Linked DNA regions of Schizosaccharomyces pombe. The gene in region 2 interacts genetically with the main gene of each other region. Each region holds a gene or a part of one and is shown on either strand. Other genes may lie near its edges.

What was found.
Region 1: of tif213 (region 2) and cwf16, changing one suppresses a phenotype caused by changing the other (phenotypic suppression), as found in Schizosaccharomyces pombe (one study listed by BioGRID).

What each region holds. Positions count from the first base shown.
Region 1 is NC_003424.3:1,487,951-1,491,925, forward strand, and holds cwf16 (splicing factor), read right to left. Parts: upstream 1,806-3,975; 5' UTR 1,633-1,805; coding exon 820-1,632; 3' UTR 660-819; downstream 1-659. Other genes in the region: F1-ATPase chaperone Atp12, read right to left, coding at 1-105; gpp74 (golgi phosphoprotein 3), read right to left, coding at 2,791-3,804.
Region 2 is NC_003423.3:2,185,569-2,189,737, reverse strand, and holds tif213 (translation initiation factor eIF2 gamma subunit tif213), read right to left. Parts: upstream 2,294-4,169; 5' UTR 2,027-2,293; coding exon 686-2,026; 3' UTR 604-685; downstream 1-603. Other genes in the region: rpl1102 (60S ribosomal protein uL5), read right to left, coding at 1-13. UniProt on the Schizosaccharomyces pombe protein: As a subunit of eukaryotic initiation factor 2 eIF2, involved in the early steps of protein synthesis.

The DNA.
Region 1 (3,975 bases), on a different chromosome or scaffold from region 2:
TTGCGGCAAAGGAGAGGAAGCTTTTGTAGAGTAAAACGAATAGCACGTTTTAAATGACAGCAAGTTTTTGCTGGATAATCTGTAAAATTGTAAAGATCGAAGCATCTTACAAAAATAGAAAAAAAAGGGTATTCAAGGTGTCTATCTGAGACACTAAAAAATCTTTCGTACTTCAAACTGCCAAAATTTAATTTTTAATTATTGTTTAAGAGTTAATTATTATGATATACGTTTTTAGTTGGTGTTCTCCAAAATATTGGTTACTATGTAAGATGAGTCTAACAATATTTTGTCACAGGCATGATGAGAATAAGTTTTAATATTTTTTTCTAAAAGTAGTTTTTAATTAAGCAAGAAAAAACTCTTTTAAAATAAATTAATAGACGTTCCTATCATAGTTCCTAAACCGTTGTTTACGTTAGCCGCCTTGAATTTAGCTACGATTAAGACTACTTTTTGACAAACCGTAAATGTAAATTGATAAATTACAATTAGATACTCGGAAAATTAGAAGGAACCTTAAAAAAAATCAATTAACATGTGCTGTTAAAAACTTAAAGTTGAAGAATAGATACAAACAAAATAAAACCTTTCTATAAATGCTACGGTATTATTCTACATAACAAACTACATTTACTAATCGAATAATAAAAATTAGAACAGGATATTGACTATCAACTCGCGTTATGAAAATCCATCAAAAACTCATTAAATATTATTACAATAAAAACCTTGCGCTGGTACAAAAGAACATGTACATTTTTAATAGCTTAGCTATAAAAAATGCAAGTAATTAAAAAATTTAGCCATTTATAGACGTTATACCAAAACCTTTTTCTTCTCCATTTTCCTTTTTGCATATTTTGGAGGCTGAAAATTCGGTATATTGGAAGTGGCCAGCTTCTCAGAAACCAAATCTATAGGTTTGGGTAATTCTTTTTCAACCGTTGTTTCTGCATTCAATCTTCTTATAATTTCACCATCCTGAGACGAAAACAACGATTTAGCTTCACGATCAATTTCTTCTTCCTCAAATTTCCGCTTTTTGGACTCCTCTTCTTCAATTGATCCATATGCATCTTCCTTTAAGAGAGCGATTGCATCATCAATGTTAACTCGAGACCTTCGAGCGCTCTTTTCACGTAGTTCGTCGAGTGCATCACTAATTTGCATTTGTCGTTTAGTGTCTAATGTTTTTTGTTCTAATTTTTCCATTTCGTCCTCCTCAGGAATGTCATTGCGTTCAGCTAACTCATTTTCTTCATATTCTTGTAATCTTTTTTCATGCCACGGCTCATAATTCCTGGAAGCTCCACTCTCTGCTGCATAATCTGCATGTTTTGGATCGGTTATAAATGTTATTTCAGCAGCACACCTAGTGCAGCGAATATAAAACCTCAATATATCAATTGAAAAATATTTTTCGCCGGTTTTCTCCTTCCTAGCGTTAAACTTTTTTCCTTTATATATATACTCTCCACAAGTATGACAGCGCATTGAAAATGGAGTCATCAAACGAACAGTCAATTTCCCACCATTTGGTCCTTGAAACTTTTTCTTTTTCTTAGGAGGACGAATGGAAGGATCATAATCGGGCGGGATATACTTGTTAAGTACCTTTCGTTCAGACATTGTTGGAAACTATGAAAAAAAAATGAAATGAACGTACGAGAATTGCTTTACCAAATTCAAAAAAAAAGAATAAATTAAAGTAAGGAAAATTTAACCGTCCTTTTGGGTTGGAATTATTTGACTTTACAGATGAATTTGAAAATGCTAGTTTTATGTGGATATGCGCTTTTTGTAAGCGAATGGCAAAAGTACTAGTACTATCTGTAGTTCTTTGACACTCGATACGTCGCGGTAATAAATTGAATGCGCACATAGCACTACGTAAACATATTTAGTACCATCCTTATATTTCCTTATACAATACCTGAGCTGAGCTATCGAGACGTGAGCAAGCGTTGTTTGTCAATCTTACACCTTCCGGTGTTTTAAGAGTACTTTAGATTCCCTTATAAATTGTGTATTATTTAAATGCTTCTGATTAATTTTGACTGATCAGTCTCCATAGTACTTTACGCTTACAGCAATAGACAATTAATGGGGTTGTTGGCATTAATGGCAGGAATAGATGATTTATATGAACTTGGTTAAAAATCGCTGTATTTCAGCTTATGTTCGTCTTAGTAAAGTTGATAGCAATGATCATAAGAAAACACCTGCTATATTAATTTATCATATGTTCATTTAAGTAAAGCTTGTGGAAGAACCCAAGTTTAAAATGGTTTAAAAGATAACTGTATAGTAATTACACAATTGTCATTTTTCGTTAGTTTAATAACTAAAGCTTTGTGAAAAGAAAGACTGACTTATATGTACGTATGTAAATCATTAAAACGAGAAGAAAATAGCTAACGATGTCCGCAACTGAAAAGAATGAAAGCTGACCCGGGATATTCTGAACAAATCTTTTTTAGCAGACAATATCGAAATGGGATTGCCTCCATATCGAGATAAAGTGTTCAACTGGAGAGAGTATATGTGGAAATGGTACCACCAATTTAATGAAAATTCAACTAGATAATGAAGCACCGATTGTTCAAAGTACTATTCTTACAACAACGAACAATTTGATTGAATTGACTTCTTTTAAAATAATACTCCAATTAAAAACAAACAAATTAAGCCGACATTAGCGATATAGAAGTCGGTATACGTTTGTTCATTAGTCTGAGTTGGAAATAACATAACTCAAACAACACCAACGAGTGATATGCTTGGCTATCAAAGTAAAGAATCTAAATGAGTGAAAACTTGAAGAACAGCAGCGACTACCTCAATGAAAAGTAGTTGCTCTTCCTTCACAGAGGAAAGTTCTTCGGAAATTAGCTCAGGCAAGTTAGCGCCAACTGACGAAGAAGCATGAAGATCAAAAGGCCATTGCGAAAAGTCACAGAGAAGCTCGTCTACGCGAGAAAATGCTTTTTCACGATCTTCATAGTTTAAATTGTCAAGAGCGTTTTCAAGAACATTAGCAGCGTATGAGGAACAAGCAAGGGCAACAGTGCGAAGGCAACGAAAAGACAAATATTCTGGGAAAGAAGGTGAATTATCAATTTCAATTACTCGTGAAGTAAGAACAGAGACCACTCTTTTTTTAATGGAATCTTTAATGGAGGTATCGGCAATGGGATGAGTTGGCATGTCGAAAAGTAAGAAATTCTTCTTCTCATTTCTTAAAATCCCTTTGTCAACAAGGCCCTTTGCCAACCGTTCGCGTACTTGTCTTAATTGATATCCAATCTTCATCACATTCCACGTTTCACCACTCATCAAATCAATCCAAGAGGTTACAGACATGAGTTCGCTAGTATGTATCATTTTAATAGCTTCGTCTAAAAGAACCTCACCTGTAAGTTTTTCATCAACCAACTCCACTACACGATCCGCTAACGGAAAGCGTTTACGATTAACGTCTTTTTGCATACGCAACTTTCCACGAAATGCGAGCTCCATTAGAATACATCCCCGAAGAGAATAAGAAATGCTGTCATTCCAAAAAGAAAGATAACCTTGCTTGTCTTTTAGACCCAATAACAATACCTCCTCCATCAGTGTAAGCCTGGGTTGCTTTTCCCTTTCCGCGCCTTGTTCCAAATCCTTTGGATCAAAAGCGATTTTATGATCATCATCGTATCCCTCAAGATGACTTTTGGAATGAGAGACGCTCCTCATCTCTGGACGTTCTTCGTCCGAACTTGCGGCAGCAACCCTCCTTCGGGAAAGTCCACCTGACATTTCTTTGAATTTTATGCCTAAATACAAGAAATTTCTTGTTGTCTATATCAAATAATCAAGAAGATGAGAGAGATATGCAAAACGTTGAAAGCAAAAGTATGCAATACAGGAGTTTCGCTAAAGAAAGAAACGTTCAAACAAATGGGAAAACTTTTGATTAAAAATACCTTT
Region 2 (4,169 bases):
CCTTCTCTGCCATGGTGTTTGATGTAGGTAGCTCGTTTTGCGTCTCCTAGTGTTGTTTGCATTCGAAATTAACAGTCACTTGTTTAGGTTAGGGCTCTGAATAATGTCGTTGCCTTAGAGTTTGCTAATTGGGAAAAGATCAAAATCGCTTATTTGATAGAATTTTTGTATTCAAAGAATTGAATCGTTCACTTTCTTTAAATTTTCATATTTTTTTTTGTAGGCTTCCAAAAGTCTGGGAAGTGAAAGCATATTTTACAGATACATACTATGAATGAAATACCACAAAACGAAAGAGTCAAGTAAATAAGCATAATTGATTAGAATCAAATAATAGTAAATATAGATTTATGACTCTTCTATTTACTTATTGCTTTACTATAAGGAACTAGTACCATCAGGTGTACTAAATAGGTATAAATTCGCTGTAGAGTAAATGTTGAAAATAGTCTAACTAATTAATAATGGAAACATTAAATACTGCACAGAGATCCGAATGTATAAAATAGGGATGTAGATACGCATCTATTAGCACTGTGTATCAACTACATGATTCATCAACTGTACTAAAATCACACACCGTGTACGAGACATCGTTAAGTTTAACCGTAGACATTACCATTGTTTATTTTTTAAAAGTTAAAAAATGAGAATTCATCTTATACAATGTTTACAACGATAAAATCTAAACTTTTAGAGTCTTACCCTCAACCACCTTAGCCCAACCGATAAGCCGCCAGTGTTTTTCAATACGTCTGCTGAGAGCCACCTTTTCACCAATTTCGGTACATGCTGGGGCGGTAAGAAGGATCTTTGCCATATCTGCTTTAACCATCATAACACGGCCACCAGTGGAAGTGGAACCGATGTTGACCATCAACACTTCGTTTTTGGCAAGTTTTTGAACTTTAGTGGTGTTTTTATCACCACTCTTTACACCCAAAAGACGACGGAGCAAAAAGTAGTTAATTTCGAGCTCGGTATAAACTTCTGGAAGGTTGCCCTTGGAACCCAAAACTTGACCAACTAGACGATCGGCACGGCAAAGAGTAGGATCGACTGTTGTACCAACACCAATCAAACCACCAGGCACGGCTATTTTCAAATCGTTGTGTTCAGCGAATAGGGAGATAATACGGGAGAAAATAGGTTGGCATCTGATGCGGCCATCATCATCCTTTGTAACAATACCAGGACGAATTTCGATTTCATCATTTAAACGAAGAACGCCAGTCAAAATAGAACCACCAGCAACACCACCCTTAAGGTCATCAACTTCAGCACCAGGCTTGTTAACATCAAAAGAACGAATTACAATTAAACGGGGAGCAGTGGTAAAGTCACGGACAGGAATGGGAATTTTCTTAACAATATATTCGAGAATGGCATCGATGTTATATTTAAGTTGGGCAGAAATAGGGACTATAGGAGAGTTCTCAGCAACGGTACCCTTAATAAACTTCAAAATAGATTGATAGTGTTCCTCAGCAGCTGATTCGCGAATCAAATCCACTTTGTTCTGAAGGATGATTATGTGCTTTAACTGCATAATTTCGATGGCAGCCAAGTGTTCACTAGTTTGAGGTTGAGGACAGGACTCATTACCAGCAATCAGCAATAAGGCGGCGTCCATGACAGCGGCACCGTTCAGCATAGTAGCCATAAGAATATCGTGACCCGGGCAATCGACAAACGATACATGGCGAACCAAGTTCATCGGAGAATTACAAATTTCGCAAGGAGGGTGATCTTCCTTGTTGGAAGAGTAGGAACGGTAACATCCGGGTCTGGGACACTCTTCATTGGAACATTTGTAAATCTTAGCGTTAGCATAACCCAGCTTGATTGTGATATTACGCTCCAACTCATTTTTGAAACGAACCGTGTGCACACCGGAAATAGCTTTGACCACTGTACTCTTTCCGTGGGCTACGTGACCAATTGTACCAATATTGATCGTTGCCTGTCTAGATATAATAGCTGGGTGAATCGGTGACAATTCTGAAATATCAAGATTTTCCGCCATTTTTACAAGCAAATTATAGTAAATTTTGGTAAAATTTAGTTATTTAAAAAATTCCTTTCTTTTTTTGTTCAAAAAGTGGAACCGAATGTAGAAATTTTCAGAACAAAAAAACTTTTCTTTCGACTTGCTCGTAGGTGTTCTTGGACACTAGTACTACCCGAATCTTTTAAATTCTTCAAAAGGTAATTTACTTTTAATTCCACGAAATCAACTCGTTTTTGGCGTTTTGTACGCTTTTTGCGGTCGAAGTAGAAGTTGGCAAGTGGTAGGTGTAGTTTACAGGGCCAGGGGGATTTTTTTGATGCCTTCCCACCAAGAAAAATGGACTGTAATTAACAAAGCCATATATGTAAACGCTATAAGAACAATATTCATTATTATTATGATTTAAATATGTTAAATCCTTTTTCTAATGATCTTACAAGATGAAAAGCTAGTTTCAGTTTCTCATTTTTTAATTAGCAAGGAACTCCCGAAAATGCTTCAAAAGTTCTATAATAGTTATTTAATTAGACTGCAGTACTCAATTACTAAATATTCCTTTATTTTAGTCGCTAAAAAGTGTCATAATTTGTGGGAGTGTATATGGATAAGCCAAAACGCCCATTTTATTAAAAGGTAAAAGTCGATTTAAGCTTGGATTGCAATATTTATAATAATTATTTTCCTTAACTCTATGGGTTCGCCTAATTACAATTAACTGTCTGCTGTTCCTTCGAAAAAAAAAATAAAAAAATACAACCTGAATATGTCTTCTCAAGGTTCAAGCTTGCTTAGATTTTGAGATTGAAAATAAAACAGAGATTTCCTATTTGCATGTAATTTAAGGTCCATTTTCTAAACATTAAGAAGCTCATCGGTTTCACAATCGGGGTTACCTCTAGAATCTATTTGGGGCAATCTAATTTCAGTTAATTTCAATTGTAACTCCAAATCACTTTACTGAATTGTAAATCGGTTTACTGAATTGTTATTTCCAGTACATGGTCTCTCATAATTTTATTTATACTATCTATCTGGTTATGCAGCTCTTGGAAATTATTAAAACAAATGCCATAATTGCTGGATGTCATTTTTTTCTTTGGTCTTTTTTTTTTCATTTTTCTTACTCTATAGAATTTTTTTGTGCAGTTGACTTTCTTCAAAACGTTTTTCAACTTTTCTATATGCATATTTAATGACTAAATCAGCATGTAGAAATGGTAGAGTAATAAATTAATGAAAGTTATTAATTGACCATTTTTATTTTGTATTTTAATAATTTTTTTTTTCTAAAACCCGATCACTAGGAATTTGTTTACAAAAAAATGTTAATGATGATCCCCAAAACTTTTATCGGTAGCTTTTCCTTTCGGCTATCGAAGCAATTTATATACTGACATTGAAGTACATTCAATTTAAATCACACGCTTTTCCCTATTAATTGCAATAATTAAACCCATCATTTCCCAATATTTAAAAATTCAAGAAATATCAAACCCACTATGTACATTGTTATTTAGTTAAATGAATACCAAGTTTAGGTTGCACAGTCGTTTTTTGAGAATTTCATTTAACTATTACTGTTCACAATTTTTCGATGATTGTCACTATATGCAAATAATACAATTCCTACATTCTCGGTATTCTTCAGTGACGCAGAACAACGCTTAAAATAGTTGTTCGAATTTGGTTTCTGAGTAATGAAAGTGGAAAGAAGGTTATCAGTAGATTCTTTTCGTTAAACAGCTATATTTTTTTTAAATCTATTTAAATTATTTCCTTGATCATTTGTTTAATTCACTATAGTTACCTTATTGCTATTATTTACAAATATTTTTGTTAGACCCGTAGGTTTTTCCAAAGTAAGAAAAGTAAATTTGTGAACTTAATGCATTATAAAACTAGTAAAGTCAACTAACAATATTTTAAGTTAATTTTTTAAATTAATGAAATTATCTAATCTAGTGTTTGTTTACTTAAAAACTTTGAAGCGGTACTCATTATATATAAAATAATTAGCGAAATAAATTATCAAGTGATCTAGATAACCAAAATCGAGGCTTATTCAACATGGTAGTTAGCTCTTTACATGTGAATCTCAAATGTTTTTTAGTTCAACCTTTTGAGAAGTTTCGATGATTGAATACCGTCGCTCAAAGTT